Linked DNA regions of Stegostoma tigrinum. The protein of the gene in region 1 interacts with the protein of each later gene in a pairwise test. Links are inferred from orthologs where the notes say so. Each region holds a gene or a part of one and is shown in the gene's direction. Other genes may lie near its edges.

Region 1 (10,405 bases):
TTAAAGATAATAAAATGTGAGGCTGGATGAACACAGCAGGCCCAGCCGCATCTCAGGAGCACAAACCATCTGTATTACCCACATTGAATGCTACAGACCCTTTAGGTTTGTCTTTTTGTACCACTTCCACTATTTAGTTTAAAAGATCTCTCTACTTCCCTTGTTAAAATATTTGCTAGAGCATTAGTCAAGGCACTTTTTGGGTGTAGATCATTCTAACAGGATAGCCCATGTTTCTCAAGTACTGATGCCAGTATTCCATGAACTAGAACTCATTTTCCCCCCATTAACTTTCAAGTCAAAAATCACTAGTCTTGTTTCTTCTGCCAATGTGCATATGGTTCACATAGTAAAGAGATTACTATCTTTAAGTTGCTGCTCTCCAGTGTGGTGCCTGCTCCTCCTATCTGTCTAAGCAGAATCTCCTTCCTTGTACCCTGAACAAACATTCCAAATCTTGGCACCAGGTCGGCAACATAGTTTATTGGCCTCACGCTTTAGGCTACACAGAACAGTGTCTACTCTCTCTCACTATACTATCCCCAGCTAAAGCAAACAGGAAGAACAGTAAACCTGCGCAAACGCTAATGTTCTAACACTTAGCCCTCATTTACAGTATCAGTGCCCTTTCCCTATTCTAATGGTTGTGATCACGTCCTAGTACAAAATAGCAGTGTGACAATGTCCCTTCCTGATATTCGCAATATCTGTGATTCATCCTCCAGCACAAACAGAACAGAAGCCGTTCCAGCTATAAACTATGACTACAGATACGTCTGGGCTGGATCATTCTAGCATCCAGAAGCTCCCAAATGCTGCAGCCATAACACATTACCTGCCCTTCTATCCTTAATGTTTTCATTAACTAAATAATTTGTTCAAGTTTATTTTACATTCTTTATTGTTTTCATTCAGTCTGTGTACTGTTTAAAACCTTACGAATAGATTAGCTTTTAACGACTGGACTGATACCCAAACATTAGCACCCACCACCAATGGTGAGATTTTACACAATGAAGCCTAGCCCATCAGTGTTTTAAAATGCTAACCTTTAAGGCATTTTAACAAATAGAACAGGGATTAACACGAAGTCCAAACATGAAATCCTCAGTTAGCGCCCCCCCCCCCACCCCGAGCTTCTAAACACGCACAGAATGATTCCTCCAATAATAGGATAGTATTCAAAATACTTCAACTGATGCATGAAGGATCTTGTGAAGACTTTTGACCCTGCCTACACCCAGCATATAGATCATGATTGTCAACAAGGCGCTTGACAAGATGTACACTGCTTAGTAAGGTTAGATCACATGGAATCCAGGGAGAACTACCACTTGGATGCAAAATTGGCTTAAACGTAGGAGACAGAGGGTGGTGGGGGCAATGGACTGTAACCAGCGATAGGGTGCCGGAGGGTCAGTGCTCAGTCCACTGCTTTATGTCACTTATATAAATGATTTAGATGCAATTAGAGGAGGAATGGTTAGTAAATTTATAGATTACACCAAAATTGGTGGTGTAGTGAACAGTAAAGAAAGTTATCTCAGAAATTATTGGGGAGGCAATGGCCTAGCGGTATTATCACTGGACTGTTAATCTAGAGACCGAGGTAACATTCCAGGGATCTGGATTCAAATCCCACCGTGGCAGATGACGGAATTTGAATTCAATAAATATCTGGATGATGACCATTGCTGATTGTCAGAAAATCCCATCTGGTTCACTAATGCCATTTAGGGAAGGAAACTGGCATCCTTACCTGGTCTACCCTATGTGTGACCCCAGACCCACAGCATCAGGGTTAATTCTTAACTGCCCTCTGGGCAATTAGTGATGGGCAATAAGTGCTGCTCTGGCCAGTGATGCCTTCATCCCGTGAACGAATAAAGGAATACAACAGGACCTTGTTCAGATGGGCCAGGGAGTGGCAGATGGAGTTGAGTTTAGATAAATGTGAGGTGTTGCATTTTCAAAAGGCAAATCAGGACAGGACTTGTGTACTTAATGGGGAGTATTGCTGAACAAAAAGCCCTTTGGGTGCATGTTCATAGTTCCTTGAATATGGAGTTGTAGGTAGATAGGATAGTGAAGGCGGCATTTGGTACACTAGCCTTTATTGGCCAGTGCATGGAGGACAGGAGTTGAGAAGTCATGCTGTAGAGGTCTTGAATATAAAAGCAGGGATGTACTGCTGGGGCTTTGGAAGGCACTGGTCAGGCCACATTGGAGTATGGTGTGCGGTTTTGGGCCTCATATCTCGAGAAGGATGTACTGGCCCAGGAGCGGGTTCAGAGGAGGTTCACGAGAATGGTCACAGGAATGGAAAGCTTAAAATACGAGGAATGTTTGAGGACTCAGAGTATACTCATTGGAGTTTGGAAGGCTGGGGGCAATTAATTGAACTTTCAGAATACTTTATGGCCTGGACAAAGGGGATGTTGGGAAGATGCTTCCATTGATTGGACAGCCTAGGACCCAAGGGCACAACCTTAGAGTAAAAGGGAAGACCTATTAGAGCAGAGATAAGGAGAAACTACTTTAGCTAGAGATTGGTGAATCAATGGAATTCACTGCCAAAGCAGGCTGTGGAGGCCAGGTCATTGAGTACATTTAAGATTGAGATAGATACGTTCTTGATTATCAAGGGCTACGGGGAGAAACCAGTAGAATGGGGCTGAGGAACTTATCAGCCATGATTGAATGGCAGAACAGACTTGAAGGGCCGAACAGCCTAATTTCTGCTCCTCTGTCTTATGGTCTTATACAGGACATTAGTTAGGCCACTGTTGGAATACTGCACTCAATTCTGGTCTCCCTGCTGTAGGAAAAAAAGTGTTGTTAAACTTGAAAGGGTGCAGTAAAGATTACAAGGATGTTGCTGGGGTTGGAGAGCTTCAGTTGTAGGAAGAGGTTAAATAGGCTAAGGCTATTTTCCACGGAGTGTCAGAGACACATTTAAAAGGCATCTGGATGTGTACACGAATAGGAACGGTTTAAGAGAGACATGGGCCAAATGCTGGCAAATAAGTCTAGGTTAATTTTGGAAATCTGTTCAGCACCGATGAGTTGGACCAAAGGGCCTATTTTCGTGCTGTACGATTCTACGACCCGTTAGAGAGGGCAGCACTCAATCTTTTGGCTGAGACATTGAACCTGGATCCCTATCTGCCCTCTCACGTAGATATAAAGTACCCCCCTGCACATTCTTTTACATTCAAGCCAATACTGACTATACAAACAGCACCACAAAAATAGATGATCTAGAAAACTGGTCACTATCACGTTGTTGATTTAGACCTTGCGGTACATAAATTGGCTGTTCCGTTATTTGCTTTGCAACATTGACTACATTTCAGAAGTACCTGCCGAAAATGAGAAAGGCACTACAGAAAGGTAAGCGTGAGGAGGCTAGAATTCTCTTTGCTGCTGCTGCTGCTTCTTCTATGGCAACCTAGAACAGAATTTGTGTTAAAGCGTTCAGAGCTCGATCACTGCAACTTCCTCACAGGAAGCAACGGCTTCCGCAGCAATTGAACCTCAAGGGTGACAGGGCCAGGTCCCGGGGGAGCCCGTACCTGCAACACCCAGCGAGGGACACGGGCTGGAGGGAGGTGCGGAAGGAGCAATGGAACCCGAGGGCAGAGCACGGCCCCGAACAGCCCTATCCCAGAACAGTATCCTCCCTCTTACCCTCTAATGGGGTAATTGTTCCCTTCCCTGATACTCACCGCCCGGCCCGGAAGCCGCGGTGCCGTGTTCTTATACTTCGAGCTTCGGAAGCGGTTCATTGCTCCCGCTCTAACAGCGACTAGACAAACGATTGCTCCACCTGTCCGAATAGCCGGGAACGACTGGAACAGCCACACAGGGGAGGGGAGGGGTGGGACCGGGCCACGCCTTGCACATCCCCGCAGCCAGCGCGCCCGTCCACCAGACAATCAGAGGCACCGCCCACTGCTGCAATGTTAGATTGAAGAGGTAAATCTCCACAATCGTACAGCATCACTGTCTCACAAAACAAGAGTTACGACTGCCGGTGGGTTTAACATGATACTTCAGGCGAGGTGATAGCCTGAGGATGAGAATCCTTCGTGTTAACTTCTACCAGCGCAGAAACTGAACCCACACTGTCGGGATCACTGTGCATTACGGACCAGCTGTCCAGCCAAAATAGCACCTCCTCCACAGGAGAGAGTGACACGGCTCACAAGAGCAAGCCAGCAATTAGTGGAGTAAATGGGAATAGCCTGAGGTCAACGCTCATTCACAAACATTCACTTCTTCCTCCACCACCAATGTTCAGATGCAGCAGTGTCTACTAGCGACAAGATGCACTGCAGAAATTCACCACGAGTGAATAAAGAAAGTGCATAAAGTGGAGGATTCTTGAGACAATGGGTGGAACCTAGGAATTACATGGGGAAATTCTTAATAGGTAAGTGCCTATAGACATATGAATCTCTACAGTATGGAAAGAGGCCATTCAGCCTGTCAAGTTCTGCACTAACCTTCCAAAGAGCAGCCGACCCAATCCCCATAATCTACATTTACCAAGGCCAAGCCACCTAATCTGTAAATCTTTGGACTGTAGGAGGAAACGGCAGTACCTAGAGGATACTGACACAGACACAGGGAGAATGTGTAAACAAAACTTGTTGCCCAACTAGTTGCCAAAACTAGGATCAAACCCAGGCCCCAGACACAATGAGGCAGGAGTGCTAAACCACTGTGCCACCGTGTCATGCACAGATGGAGTGTGGGCCTCAATTGGTGGGAGCAAGAACAAAAGAACACTGCACAACTCATTTACAGGACAGTTTTAAATCTTGCCTGCAAACATCTGATATGTTGTGTCAACAATGATTTGTGTTTATATATCACCACTAAATGTAGTAAAATGTCTGATGAGTATTATTAGAGTGTTCTGAGGTATCTTAACAGTTACAATACTCACTTATTCAGTACTCCATTGGATTATGAGTTTAGATATCTGGAACAGGATTTGAACTTTCTAACTATGAAGTAAGATTGATACAATGGAGAAGTCTCTGCAAGTCCCCAGCTACTCGTTGTTCCTTGTAGAAGACTTTGCCGACCAGTAAAAGCCATGAAATCCATTGTCTAGGTGCTGTCAACTACAGGTCCTGTCAGCAAGACTTCATAGCAGCAAGTAGGTAAGCAAAACTATATTCACAATGAAATCTCTATAGAATGTATGGTATGATCACTCGCTTTACTGTTTGCAGTTTCCAAAATCCTTTGTTAGATTTTGGAGTAGCAATTTTTGCCTCATTCCATGCCAGAGAGCACCGAAGTTTCCACAAGCAGGAGCTCCTACTGATTAACAACTGCATCCTTGTAAGGTTTAAATCTGGAGCCTCCAGTACATTGGTAGTGCCTGTACCTTTGGGCTAGATACCAAATCCCACTTTCCCCAGTTATGTTTTTGAACAGGTTGATTGAAAGTAATTAATGTTTGAATCTGTGGGCCTTGCCTTAAGTTAAAAAGGAAGTCAGAACCCTCATTCCTCCCTGATGATAAAACGAGACAAAACAAAATTCGACTTGTATGAGTCAAAATAAGCTGAGGACAAATGCCAACAGAGCAAGACATAAAAAGGTACAGTATCTAAGTTAAATCAAGGAAACACACCAGCAGCTTTCTTTAAGGGAAATTGTTTAAATAATAAATACATGTACAAGAAATCAGCCTAAAGCTATCCACCTAAGTCTCTGAATAAGCACAGAATCAATGGTGCAAGAGGCTATTTCGCCCATCATGTTTGTACCGAGATAGTATCATTAAATCATTTTCACCGGGCTGGGAGGATAGACACCGTCTCAAATTAATGTCTCAGCAAAAAGATGACCTCTGTAGCAGTGCAGCAATACTTCCCTGGATGGGAGCATAGGCCTAACACATAACTGACGGTGGATGAACCTAACTCCAGGCTACGAGGCAACTAGGCTTGTTGCGCAGGCGCAATATGATTATGGGACGGTTGTGCGCATGTGCAGGACCGGAAAGGGTTGTTGGTCTGCGCAGGCGCTAAGATGGCGGCTGCACGGTGCTACCTTCGCTTGGTGTCGGTGACCTGGAACCCATTGGCTGGAGCCCGGCCTGGCACCGTGCGGATACTCGCCACTCGGGGTCTCCGTACTGCCTTTTGTCTGGGCCCTGGATTGTTATCGGCTGGTGGTCTGGGTCTCAGGTTCGGCCTGGAACTAAGATTGCGGCTGTCCGGTAAGGAAAGCGAGCAGGTTCGGCTGGCGTCGGCCTGGTAACTATTGCATGGCCTGTCTCGCCCCATGACAGAGAGGAAATTCAAGCGACCCCTGGAAGGGCAGTGTCAATGCTCCCCTCCACAATCAGGGCAGTGTCTGTACTCCCAGGCATTATCCCACTGGGGATAGATTGTCTGGTAAGGAAAGATTTGGACTTGCTTGCGATGAATCATGAGCATCAGATGTAGCTGTTGCCGTTAGTCAGAGGAGAAAACGATGTCACTTCTTGATGCAAGGACGAAAATGGTTTATAGTTTTTTTTTAAATGCGGGAGATTGTGGGTGTTTTTCCTAATTGTTCTTTTCCCTTTCATTTGCCTCAAGCTTGTTCACCAAATTCTCTAGGTGTTGCTGCATTTCATACAGCTTCTCCTTTAGCCAAAACTGATTATTATGAGGTGTTGGGGATCCCTCGCAACTCAACGCAAAGAGAGATAAAGAAAGCTTATTATCAGGTATGAGAAGCGAATGTCATTTAAACCAGACTTACAACTTAAGTTCCTGTATTTATACAAGTAATCAGTGGGAATTTTTTTTAATTGCACCAAGCCATCGACCAGAATAATTTTTCCAGCTCATCAAATTGAATTGTGTAATTGGAATCTTAGTCAAATTTAATTTACTTTAATGTCTTCCTCTCCCTCCTTGTCATGAAGGAGCTGAATTTGCTAGTCCACTTTCATGACATCAAGAGTTGCAAGTGGCCAATTTTAACTGATGAATCTGAATCTAGACAGTATCTACTGGGTCAAATTTGAATTCTCTCTTATAAATGAAGCCGCTTTTAAAATAATATGTCTGCGGTGGTGACTGTCTGGTGCAGATATGTCATGAAATTTGTCTGGGGTAGATAGGACTTGAACCTGAACCACTTCGGCAGAGGGGCACTATCACTGCAACACTGTCTGGTGTATACTTTAAACAAAAACATGGAAAAGAATTACATTGGGAAATTTGTCTTAATCAAACCTATTTTAATAGTTGGAGTACTTATCCCAGCAAAGCCTACAGGGGAAAGATTGGTTTCAGTTATAACTACTTGTAGCTTTGAATAAATCTTGTGTTCTTGCATATACAGCTTGCAAAGAAATACCACCCAGATACAAACAAAGATGATCCAAAGGCAAAGGAGAAATTTTCCCAAGTGGCAGAAGCATATGAGGTAATGAATGTATTGCAATGAAAGCCCCTAACTGTATTGCACAAGCTGTCTAGTCCGGAAGGGAGTTTCTGGGCTCCGAGTTGGCTGATCATGTGGGGAGGTGGACAGCAGATGTCAGCACAGCCACAGCATTTCCACTTTTCGTGGAGGGAAGAGAGGGGTTGAGAATTGTGTGTGTAGCTGGGAGTTGTGGGTGAAGGAACCAGTGTTCTATTCATGTGCCACTACCAGCACAACTGAATAGTTAGGTAATCTCTAAAGAACAACACCACAGTATGAATATTCTAACTTGAGGTAAAAAACTGTGAAAATTGTGTGACAATCAGTGTCTATTCTCAAACAGTAATACAGGATTCCTAGGGATCGTTATTCCTGAGTTTATTTGTTAATTGGTTTCCAGCTCTGATCGATATTAATTGTGCATTACAGGTTCTGAGTGATGAAGTGAAGCGGAAACAGTATGACTCTTATGGGAGAGTTGGATTTGATGCAGGAGGGTCAAGGAGTCAGGAATACTGGCATTCAGGGCCTTCAGTGGATCCAGAGGAGCTTTTCAGACGCATCTTTGGGGAATTTACTGGTTCTGGATTCAGAGATTTTAACACTGTCTTTGACCAGCACCAGGAGGTGAGTAAGCTAACTATTTGGCTATCCAGAAACCAGTGATACTGAAGATGGACAGTTCCTTGCATAGAAATAGGATTAGGCTATTCCATTCATCACACCTGTCTCACCATTCAATATAATCGTGGCTGATCAAACGCTTCATTGCCCACAAAATCCCCAAGAGACTGTTTCTCGGCTTCGCTTAAGGAAAGAAGTAATAGGAGCAGCAGTGAACCATTTGGCTCTGTGAGCCTGCTCTGTCATTTAGTCATAACTAACATTGTGCTTGACCTGTCTTTTCCAGAAGTTTCCCATGTTCCTTGATTTCCTGAGAAATCAAACATCTGTCTGTCTCTGATCTGATCTGATCTGACATCAAACATCTGATCTGTCACATCTGCCAATGTGGTATACTGCATCCACTGTACCCAGTGTGGCTTCCTCTACATTGGGGAAACCAAGCGGAGGCTTGGAGACCGCTTTGCAGAACACCTCCGCTCAGTTCGCAACAAACTACTGCATCTCCCAGTCGCAAACCATTTCCACTCCCCCTCCCATTCTTTAGATGACATGTCCATCATGGGCCTCCTGCAGTGCCACAATGATGCCACCCGAAGGTTGCAGGAACAGCAACTCATATTCCGCCTGGGAACCCTGCAGCCTAATGGTATCAATATGGACTTCACCAGTTTCAAAATCTCCCCTTCCCCAACTGAATCCCTAAACCAGCCCAGTTCGTCCCCTCCCCCCACTGCACCACACAACCAGCCCAGCTCTTCCCCTCCACCCACTGCATCCCAAAACCAGTCCAACCTGTCTCTGCCTCCCTAACCTGTTCTTCCTCTCACCCATCCCTTCCTCCCACCCCAAGCCGCACCCCCAACTACCTACTAACCTCATCCCACCTCCTTGACCTGTCCGTCTTCCCTGGACTGACCTATCCCCTCCCTACCTCCCCACCTATACTCTCTCCACCTATCTTCTTTTCTCTCCATCTTCGGTCCACCTCCCCCTCTCTCCCTATTTATTCCAGAACCCTCACCCCATCCCCCTCTCTGATGAAGGCTCTAGGCCTGAAACGTCAGCTTTTGTGCTCCTGAGATGCTGCTTGGCCTGCTGTGTTCATCCAGCCTCACATTTTGTTGTCTTGGATTCTCCAGCATCTGCACTTCCCATTATATCTGTCTGTCTCTCTCAGCTTTAAATATTTCAGAACCATTTTGGATCTTCTGGGTTAATTTGCACTCTACACCATGTGCCTTCAGGTTACTGTACAAGGTCACTGAATAATTAACTCATCAGACAGCAGATCAAACTGATAACTGAATGCTTTCTTTTTTTGGTTACTTTTTTTAGCAAGTGGTATTTCAGCATCCAACAGTTGGCCATAAATAACCAAAGCATCCTGGGGCAATTCGAAGTGTTTTGATTGACCTTAGATCGCTATCGAGTGATCAAGCTTGTCTTACCCGTGCAGGAGCTGTTTATGATAATAGTATGGATTCAATATTTGAACACCACCTATTCCTTAAATATCCCTTAAAGCTATTACTGCTGCTTACCACTTACTCTTAAACATATTTGAAAATAACTTGTTGTCATTAGCCTAACAATATATCTCTCATGTATGTGGTTCGAATTTGTGATGACTTACATGTTAAATGGCAGCCTAGTAATGAGTTGAGCTTGGTTCATGATCCTGCTGTTAAACCATTTGACATTATCATGAGATTTAAAGCAAAAGGCATCAAACCAATACAAAACACACACATTATAGAGAAAATTTTGTTTCAATTGGAGTTTGGATGAGATTTACACATTTTAAAATCAAGTTCAGGAATTGTCTTTGAGCTTTGGCTTTACACAGTAATGATGCTTAATATTGCTTCTTAGACACTATATGGGTATCTAATATTTGATATTCCTCTGCAGTATATCATGGAACTGACCTTTACACAGGCTGCAAAAGGTGTCAACAAGGAGATTACGGTGAATTTAGAGGACACATGCCAGAGATGTGATGGTAAGGGAAATGAACCAGGAACCAAAGTCCAGCACTGCCATTATTGCAATGGAAGTGGCATGGTGAGTACAAACGTTGTCAGTGACCTTCTTTGCCCTTCCCTCCCAAAGGCAGTGTATTTTACTGGGTTCAGTTCCAGGGGTTGTCCAGAGTATTTGTTTTTTTTGGTTTGGATTCTGTATGAATGTACGCAAAAGAAGCAAACTCAGTGTTTGGGGTACAATACTGATACAGTGGTATTTGTCTTTAGAGAAAGTGGCCTTCTCATTGTATGCTTTTAAGACTACATGGTACAGTACATTTCACAAACTCACTATTGAAAAGTGCACA
Region 2 (10,168 bases), on another chromosome or scaffold:
CCTGTAGAGCTCATACAGATATGTGGACAAGATCTCTCAGATAGATATACAGAGGACATTCTTACAAATGTTGAGAGATCTGGCTATATGGGAAAGAACCATCAGCCTGTTCAGAAAGGCATGTACAGTACCTAGCTCTGCCGCAGACTTCTTCTGATTCAACCCCTGCATGCCCTCTGAACATGACTCTGTTTGAAGCCCTCTGAAGCTCCCGCAGGCGTTCATTTTCTTGCCGTAGTTCCAAGATATCTTTGGTAGCCTTTGACAGAGCAGCCCAGGGGTCTGTGTCCACTGCTGGTGAGCCAGGGCGCCGAGCCTCAAAGTGTGATGGAGGGATCAAGTCTGCCGCTTCTGCAGATAAAGAAGAAGCTCCATTTATAGTTCCAGCAACAGACAGGTGGGAGTGCTGACATTTCTAAATCCTGCACTCAGTTCTGACTTAATTAACCTCCTGGAAAGGAAGTTATTGGCTGGAACATGCAAATAACTACATATTAATATTTCTTCTTTCAGGTTTGGAGGCCTGTTGTTTGAAAGGTACCTAAATCTCAGAGATGAAAATGACAGACCTAATGTTTCAAGCCTCTCTTCATACTTGTCCACACAGTCCTATCTGGCACATCATGGTCAACCTAGGAATCCAATATCACTATTGCCACAATTTCTATTGAAAGGTTCAAAACCTACTAACTGACAGTGCTACAACTTTGTTCTTACAAACCACACATTCATAAGAACTTTCAGTTGCCAATTTTCTTTTATCTAGTTATCTATAAGCAATAGAGTGCATTATTCATGTCTGATTTCCAACGGTATGTTTTGTTGTGTATGAGTTCAGGGTGTTTGTACATCACATCCAGAAATGTGTATGTACAATACATGAATTTCTCAACTGTGTACACATATCTATCATACACATATTTCAAAGATCTATAGGACCACTCAACATACTTAGACCTCAGATATATTGAGTTGAGATTAAAATTAAATCAGCCATAATCTTATTGAATAGCAGAGCAGGTATGAAGGACTGATTGGCCTACTCTTGGCCCTTGTTTGTATATCAACAAAAGTAACTCACGAGTCTGTGTCTAAAGATCTATATATCTGTTCGACATACTTATACCTCAGATATCAACTGGGTTGTCCCATACATTCGTAACCCCAGGTATCTATACATCTACCAACATGTCAATACTGTAGATATCTAAATGTCTACTCTGAATGTTTATATTTAAACCCTCTAAGTTTTCCTCTTAGCCAGGCATCATACTGAAGCTGATTTTCACCCACTTGTGTCCCAGGGAACGATACATTTTATCTGCAAATCTCCAGAATCTATAGCTGCTCCTCACTCTTGGGGGTCTACAGATCACTCCAATATCAACAGACCTATTAATTCATCTCCGTATTCCAGGGAACTATACTCTTATCTAGGAATCTATGGATTTATCCCATATCCCAGGGATCTATAAATGTATCCCCATTTGCCAGGCATCTATAGATTTATTCCCATACACCAGGCATCCAGAGATGTCTCTCACATATTGGGGTTATGGATAACTCCACTCCCCCAAGATCTGTACAGTTGTTCCCATACCCAGAGAACTACAGATTTATCCGCACTTCCCAGGAATCTATAGGTTTATCCCAACGTCCCGAAGATCTGCAGGTTTATCCCCAATTCCAAGAGATCTGCAGGTTTATCCCCATTTCCCGGGGATCTAAAGATCGTTCTTGCATCCTGGTAATCTGTAGGTTTTTCTCTATATCTCAGGGGCCAATAGAAATTTCCCATTTCCTAGGATCCACAGACACCTCAATATTCCTGGAATATGCAGCAATGTCTACATTTCATGGATCTACTATCCCAGGTCTCAGGGATCTATAGATCTCTCCCCCAGGGATTTACTCCTGTGCCATGCGGAGATTAGGGTTCCCATTTGCATCTTTCAACAGTGTCTTTTTTTAAAATTTGCATATATATTTGCTTCCTTTTACCGTGATGCCTGCCGCTGAAAGTTATCGGTGGCTCCGCTCCCTGCTCGAGCTGCCGCCGGCTCCTCTCAGACATGGCGCGGCCGACCGTTAATACCGCGGTGTCCCAGGAACACACGTCCGCCGGAAACAGGTTGCTGCCACCTCCAGCCACCCAGTGGTGTCCCGGAAACACCCGTCCGCCGGAAACCGATTACCCTCCACCTCCACAAATCCGTTCCACCCATCCAAGTGCCCCAGGGCACAGCCGTCGGCCTCGGGGAACAAAAAAAAAGTCAGCCAACAACAAAATCAAAAGCGTTCCCTGTATGGTTTTCCTAGTGTAGTGACTGGAACTAGTTGGATCCTAATGACTATGAGATCCCTGATAGGGGCTGTGAAGCAGGGCCACTCAAGGAGCCCTGGCTGACAGATATAAACAGGAGACACAGAGTCTCCTCACGTAATGGACTGACTCCAAACTAGCTGATCACAATCTGTAAACCGTGCACATGTAAATAAAGGGCGACTTGGTGACGGGATACTGGCCTCTGTACAGTTCTTTCACAGTCAATGACATGCATTGTGTTTGTTGTTCAGACACACTCTCCGTTGTGCAGTAGGGAGTAGAGAATTGGTAGGATCCCCAAACAGCATATTTTTGCACTCTCCCACCAGTTACAATATGGTAATGAACATATCTCTGGGGCAGTGGAAGGACCAAGCTGGATATAGTCAGCATCAGGTTGCTTCTGTGAAGAAGCATTCCACATTAAGCAGAGGTTCACCTGCACATCTGCCAATGTGGTATACTGCATCCACTGTACCCGGTGCGGCTTCCTCTACATTGGGGAAACCAAGCGGAGGCTTGGGGACCGCTTTGCAGAACACCTCCGCTCAGTTCGCAACAAACAACTGCACCTCCCAGTCGCAAACCATTTCCACTCCCCCTCCCATTCTCTAGATGACATGTCCATCATGGGCCTCCTGCAGTGCCACAATGATGCCACCCGAAGGTTGCAGGAACAGCAACTCATATTCCGCCTGGGAACCCTGCAGCCCAATGGTATCAATGTGGACTTCACCAGTTTCAAAATCTCCCCTTCCCCTACTGCATCCCTAATCCAGCCCAGTTCGTCCCCTCCCCCCACTGCACCACACAACCAGCCCAGCTCTTCCCCTCCACCCACTGCATCCCAAAACCAGTCCAACCTGTCTCTGCCTCCCTAACCGGTTCTTCCTCTCACCCATCCCTTCCTCCCACCCCAAGCCGCACCCCCATCTACCTACTAACCTCATCCCACCTCCTTGACCTGTCCATCTTCCCTGACTGACCTATCCCCTCCCTACCTCCCCACCTACACTCTCTCCACCTATCTTCTTTACTCTCCATCTTCGGTCCGCCTCTCCCTCTCTCCCTATTTATTCCAGTTCCCTCTCCGATGAAGGGTCTAGGCCCGAAACGTCAGCTTTTGTGCTCCTGAGATGCTGCTTGGCCTGCTGTGTTCATCCAGCCTCACATTTTATTATCTTTGCTTCTGTGAAGAAACACAGTTCAGATTAATCACCTTCCATCAGAATTCAAACTGAAATTTTGTACCTCGGTGCTGCCACAGCACCTACCCTTCACCTCCATCCAAGGCCCAAGACAAACTTTCCATGTATGACAGGGATTCACCTGCATATCATTCCACCTGGTCTACTGTATCCATTGTTCTTGATGTGGTCTCTTCCACATAGATTAAACCAAATGTACACTTGGAGACTGATTCGAGGAGCATCTGCACTCTGCACGCTAATATCAACAGCACCTTCCAGTCGAACCACTTTAACCACCCCCCCCCCCCCCGCCCTTGGGTGACATGTCCATCCTGGGCCTCCTCTAGTGCCACAATGACGCCACACGCAAACTGGAAGAGCAACACCTCATATTCCGCCTTGGGAGCCAACAGCCTGATGGCCTAAACATCCAGCCTTCCACCCACAGCCTCATCACATGTCTAACCCTCCCACTCATCCCCACTTTCTTGACCTGGCACCACCTGTCCATCTTCTTTCCCATCTATCCGCCCCACCTGTCCAACTGCCCAATCCCCACCATCCCAAACCTGCACCCACCAAACATTGTCCCACCTACCTTCAGAAGCCCCACCCCTCCTATTTATTTCTGAGCTCCCTTCCCCCTCTCCAGTCCTGATGAAGGGTCCAGATCTGAAATGTCGACTTTCCTGCTTCTCTGGTGCCGACTCTCCTCCTGTGTTCCTCCAGCTCCACACTGTATGGATGACGAAAACACTGTTAACAAGTAGCAACGGGAATTAACCGAGTCATACAGGAATACAGTTCATATTACAAAGATACTCAGCAGAGAGGGGGAGGATTTGTCTCTGTTTCAAAATGGTTGTTGGAATAGGCTGGAGGACTGGTGGGGGTTTGGGGCACATTGGTTGGTAAGCAGCAGAGTTCAGTGTCTGATCCTTTGTTTGCTCAGTCTTTGGATTCAGACACATACACAGACACACACACACACACACACACACACACACACACAAACAGACACCAAACAGTGCGGATGCCTCGAGCATGTTGACTTCATAGGTGCCTGAATGAATGTTTCCATCAAATTTGTGTTCGGTAAATGTTTTGGGTTGCATCTAGATACGAGCACTGGTTTGAACTTTTCCAATTAGCACATTTCCTCCTTAACTGAAACCAGTTCACTTATCCCTTACCTAAGGAAAAATATATTGGAGTCAGCCCTATGAAGTTTTACTCGGCTGATCCCAGGTATGGAGGAACTGTCCTTTGAGGAGAGGTTGAGTAGGTAGGGTCTGTATTCTGGATGTGAGTTTGCTCACTGAGCTGGAAGGTTAGTTTTCAGACGTTTCGTCACCATTCTAGGTAACATCATCAGTGAGCGTCCGGTGAAGCGCTGGTGTTATGTCCCGCTTTCTATTTATCTGTTTCCTAAGGCTCACTGATGATGTTACCTAGAATGGTGACGAAACGTCTGAAAACGAACCTTCCAGCTCAGCGAGCAAACTCACATCTAGAACCTCAACCTGAGCTACAAATCTTCTCAAAACTTGCTAGGGTCTGTATTCATTGGATCATAGAAGAATAAGAGGGGATCTTATTGAAACAGATAAGATTCTTCGGGGGCTTGATTTGGAAAGATTGTTTCCCCTTGTTAGAGTCCAGGGTTAGAGGGCATACATGCAGAGTAAGGGGTCACCCCTCAGGAGAGCGATAAGGTGGAAATTTCTTCTCTCCAAGGGGAGTAAGTCTGTGGAATTTTTTACCGCAGAGGTCTGGAAGCCTTACTAATTACATTTCAGGCTGAGATAGATTGATAAACATTGAAGGAATTAAGGGTTATAGGAACAAGACAGGGAATGGATGGCGATTATTAGATCAGCAATGATCTCATTGAATGGCAGAGTTGACCGAAATGCTTACGTCTGTCCCTACTTATATTCTTGCAGACCCAGAGTGACTGCTGTCCCAAGTTTGTGTCCTTCTGCAACTTCTGGGTCATCTCTTCAACCCAACGTCACAAAAGAGATTCCTAAAGCAAATTTCTGCAAACCCTCAAAAAAAGGGGAGCAGTTCAAGTGGCGCCTGTTCAAAAAGATAGAGAAAGCAGTTTACATTTCGAGTTAGAACATCACCCACAGTAAGATTACCAACAGTAAAATCACGGGAATATCCCTCACAATGACATACATGACAGTAATTATCTTCCTGACCGGCCCTTTATTCCTCGTAGACCACAATCTGACAACTCTGCCTGGCACCCTGGAGGGAGGGAGGGCGGAGCGCCAGCATCAAAGATGGCAGCTCGGCCAGCCAATTGGCATCACCTCCTAGTACGCAGGCACAGTAACTGGTACCCCCGCGGAGGACAGGGATCATCTCGCGATACTTGGGGCCGCCGTTCCAGCGCGCCAATTTTCAAAGGCGCTTCCTGTAAACAGAAGGATAGACCTAGAAAGAGAGAGAGAGGCGGGGAGGATAGACAACAGACAGCTGGTCTGCCGTCGAACCGGTCGGTGGCACTGAGGAACACCGGAGAGACAACAACAACAACTACAGTGGCGCCAACTGTCCACCGCAACGGTCCGAGGTGGAAAGCCAGGCCTCAGTTCCGATGACCTAACAACTGGATCCTACCCCCGAGAGCCCAGGATTTGATGAGTTAGCAACTGGATCCTACCCCCCGGGAGCTTGGCGACCAAACATTCGGAGCCGAACCGCCATGATTCCAGGATTTGGTGACCTAACAATCGGAGCCTAGCCCCCAGGAGTGCGGGTTTTGATGACCTAACAATCGGAGCCGAGCCCCCAGGAGTGCGGGTTTTGATGACCTAACAATCGGAGCCGAGCCCCCAGGAGTGCGGGTTTTGATGACCTAACAATCGGAGCCGAGCCCCCAGGAGTGCAGGTTTTGATGACCTAACAATCGGATCCGAGCCCCCAGGAGTGCAGGTTTTGATGACCTAACAATCGGAGCCGAGCCCCCAGAAGTGCAGGTTTTGATGACCTAACAATCGGAGCCGAGCCCCCAGGAGTGCAGGTTTTGATGACCTAACAATCGGAGCCGAGCCCCCAGGAGTGCAGGTTTTGATGACCTAGCATACCCCCGACACCGACCCAGCGAGGATGCTGTCGGAGGTGCAGCCCTGCCTGCAGCTGCTCCGCATCGGCACCGCCCCGCAGCCCAGCCCGAGGCCCGGCCAGGCCACGGCGCCGACACCCGCCCGCGACCTCTACACTTTCCTGCCGGCCGGCCAGCGCTGCACCTTCCGCCTCGGCCGCCGGGCCGACCTCACCGACCTGTGCCTGAGCTCGGGGCGGGCCGAGGATCTCATCTCCCGGGTGCACGCCGAGCTGCAGGCCGAGAGGGGGGCGGCCGGGGGCGACTGGAGGGTGCACATCGTCGACAGGAGCACCAATGGTAAGGGCCTGGGTGGTGGGTGGTGGTGGGTGGTGGGGGGGGGGGGGGCGATGGAACTAGAGGACAATGGGGAGGTTATGGGGAATGTGGATAAGGGTGATTGGGGAGGATAAAGGGGAATGGTGATACGGGAAAATGGCGTGAGGGGGGTAGGATACAGTGGGATGGGTGTTTTAGTGGGTGGGATACAGGGGAATGGGGGCTAAGGGGTTGGGATACAGGGCAATGGAGATATAGGGGATGGGAGAGGTGGGGGTGTGGGATAGCCTTAGCTGAGTTCTGATGGTGGTCCTCCTGCAGTGTAACATTGATGCCACCCGAAGGTTGCAGGAACAGCAACTCATATTCCGCTTGGGAACCCTGCAGCCCAATGGTATCAATGTGGACTTCACCAGCTTCAAAATCTCCCCTTCCCCCAGCTCATCCCTGCGTCCCTAATCTGTTCTTCCTCTCACCTCAAGCCCCACCTTCCCATCCCCTGCCTACTAACCTCATCCCGCCCCCTTGACCTGTCCGTCCTCTCCGGACTGACCTATCCCCTCCCTACCTCCCCACCTACACTCACCTTTAATGGCTCCATCTCCGCCCCTTTAACTTGTCTGTCTGCTCTCCCCCTATCTTCTCCTCCATCCATCTTCTATCCGCCTCCCCCTCTCTCCCTATTTATTTCAGAACCCCTTCCCCTACCCCATTTCTGAAGAAGGATCTAGGCCCGAAATGTCAGCTTTCCTGCTCCTCTGCTGCCTGGCCTGCTGTGTTCATCCAGCTCCACACCTTGTTATCTGTTTCCTTCCGCTGTTTTTTGTTTGAATTTTTCAGCACCTGTAACATTTTGCTGTTATCTTGGAGCTGTGGGGCAGTATGAGGTCAAAGGGTGGTTTAGAGGGTGGCAGGAGGAATTAGTGTGCAACATCAGAAATCTGAAGCCGTTTTAATGTAAAATACTGTTGTGCGTTTGGTTGCCAACTGCTCAGGGTCTCTGTCATTGATGAACAGCTGTAGCCATGTTTCTGTTGGCGGGAGTGGAATATAAGTAGCTCCCTTTTTTTTCTTTAATTATTCAGAGGTTATGGTGTGGTTGGCTAGGTTTGGACCCCTGGAGGTGGTGGTTTAGCTACTGCCCTGAACCGCAGCAATCTTGGAGAGCTGCCAGGGGAGAAACTGCAGCCAGTAGCAGTTAATAGTGACAGATTTGGACTGGGTCTGGCTTGGAGGGGAGTTTGCAGTCCCAATACATCCCGCGACCTTCTCCTTTACAGTGGTAGGGTTTGAACGTGATGGGTTACTGCAGTGCATCGTGTAGACGGTGCACATTGCTGTTGCTGTGGGTCCGCGGTGGAGGGGCTGAAGTTGGCAGATCGCTCCCCAGCCAAAGGGATCACTGGGTTCTGGCTGACGTCTACTTTGGATGTTGTCGGTTTGAAAATGGGAAACGAAGCGAATTGTCCTGGTGCCCTCCTACCTGTGACAGATGGCTCATCGGAAGGAGACATGATGCTGTTTGAATGTGGGATCAGACCTGCAGTTTTCCCTAGAAACGGTGCTGTGGGTGACCTCGCTGCAGTTCTGATCGAAAGGCAGATGCGTCCTGGCCAAGCAGGACGGGCAAGAAAATAATCCCAGAAGGCGAGAGGCTCCTGAGGGAGGCTACTTCACCTGTGATAAAGGGTCCAGGCCTGAAACGTCAGCTTTCCTGCTCCTCTGATGCTGCTTGGTCTGCTGTGTTCATCCAGCTCTACAGCTTGTTATCTCAGATTCTCCAGCGTCTGCAGTTCCTACTATCTCTGATACAACTGTGACCTGTCTGTTCTCCCCTTTTCCTGGTCGAATGCTCGCAAGCTGACGGGCCTGCCTTTCGTTTTTATTCATACGAAGGAGGGTGGGCAAAGACAGAGACAAAACTTTTTACTCCCGGATGTTATGTCTGATAAACAAATCAAAAGGACACTGAGGGGCAACTTTCTGTTTTAACGCGGAGCGAGTAGACACAGCTGTTCACCCACGACAGAGACCCCGAGCAGCTGGCGGGGTGGAAGGAAGTGCCAGAGGAAGGTGCGGGTATGCAGGGGTACTTGGAAAGGTTATAAAATGTGAGGCTGGATGAACACAGCAGGCCAAGCAGCATCTCAGGAGCACAAAAGCTGACGTTTCGGCTCTGATGAAGGGTCTAGGCCCGAAACGTCAGCTTTTGTGCTCCTGAGATGCTGCTTGTCCTGCTGTGTTCATCCAGCCTCACATTTTATTATCTTGGATTCTCCAGCATCTGCAGTTCCCATTATCTCTGATACTTGGAAAGGTTTTTGGGAGACATGTGTGGGGCCAGTCTAATCCCGGGGACTTGGGTGGCCGTGTTTCAGTGCGTGCATGGCTGTTAAAAAGGAGGGGGTTTGTTTTAAAATAAAAGAGAACCAGAAGGGAAGCAGGATTCAGGCTGACGGCTGTGTTATTGCAGGCACATTTGTGAATGACATTCGGATCGCCAAAGGCGAGAGGACGGAGCTCTCCGACGGAGACACTGTCACGTTTGGCCACCCGGACGCGGTGAACATCCCGGAAGGCTCCCTGGTCGCTCAGCAGGACTCGGAGTTTTACTTCCTCTTCCAGAAGGTCCGTGTGCGCCCGGCCGACTTCGATGCCATCACCGCCGCCTCCCCCCCCAGGGCGCAGCGAGCCGGCGGGTTCCGGCCGGTCTGCCTGTCCCCGCAGCGGGCCCGGATCCGGAGCTTCACCCGGGCGCCCCCCGCCTCCCGGGCCACCCTGATCCTGAACTCCATCGGCAGCATCAGCAAACTGAGGTCGCAGCTGGTGGTGCTGCACTCGGAGGCCGCCGCCAGCGAGCCCAAGGGGGCCCTGGGCAGGTTCCGCCGCCTCCTGCTGTCGCCGGGGACGCGGCGCCACCCCACCGCCCCCGGCCCCGGCCCCCAGGGCGGCACCGCTCCGCCCCTGAAGGGGACGTGCGAGCGGCCGGCGACCAAGCACCGGCGGAAGACCGTCCACACCGTCCTGCCGGACCTGGAGGAGGAGATCCAGCGGTTTACTGTCGAGGTGCAGCAGAGTGCCCCGAGCCGCCGGCACTGCAAGTCCGAGTCGGATGTGGACCCAGACCTGTACCGGCAGCTGACCCTGGGCGTCCGGGCGCTGTCCCCCCAACAACAGCCCACCCTCAAGAAGCACAAACTGGAGCCCGGTGCCCACCTCCCTCGAAATGCAATAGAGAACATCACCCCCACTGGG

Evidence for each region. The genes of interacting proteins can lie anywhere in the genome.
Region 2: the proteins of dnaJ homolog subfamily A member 3, mitochondrial-like (region 1) and tcf19l interact in a two-hybrid assay, tested with the Homo sapiens proteins (2 studies listed by BioGRID and IntAct). The two-hybrid records come from large-scale screens. The link is inferred for Stegostoma tigrinum from reciprocal best matches to the Homo sapiens genes DNAJA3 and TCF19.

What each region holds. Positions count from the first base shown.
Region 1 is NC_081376.1:32,395,139-32,405,543, reverse strand, and holds the start of dnaJ homolog subfamily A member 3, mitochondrial-like, read left to right. Parts: upstream 1-6,035; 5' UTR 6,036-6,054; coding exon 6,055-6,244; intron 6,245-6,608; coding exon 6,609-6,739; intron 6,740-7,362; coding exon 7,363-7,446; intron 7,447-7,875; coding exon 7,876-8,073; intron 8,074-9,984; coding exon 9,985-10,137; intron 10,138-10,405. Other genes in the region: coro7 (coronin-7), read right to left, coding at 3,729-3,788. UniProt on the Homo sapiens protein: Modulates apoptotic signal transduction or effector structures within the mitochondrial matrix. Affect cytochrome C release from the mitochondria and caspase 3 activation, but not caspase 8 activation.
Region 2 is NC_081387.1:26,380,785-26,390,952, forward strand, and holds the start of tcf19l (transcription factor 19), read left to right. Parts: upstream 1-5,951; 5' UTR 5,952-6,639; coding exon 6,640-6,934; intron 6,935-9,386; coding exon 9,387-10,167; intron 10,168-10,168. Other genes in the region: cchcr1 (coiled-coil alpha-helical rod protein 1), read right to left, coding at 132-351, 2,002-2,074. UniProt on the Homo sapiens protein: Potential transcription factor that may play a role in the regulation of genes involved in cell cycle G1/S transition. May bind to regulatory elements of genes, including the promoter of the transcription factor FOXO1.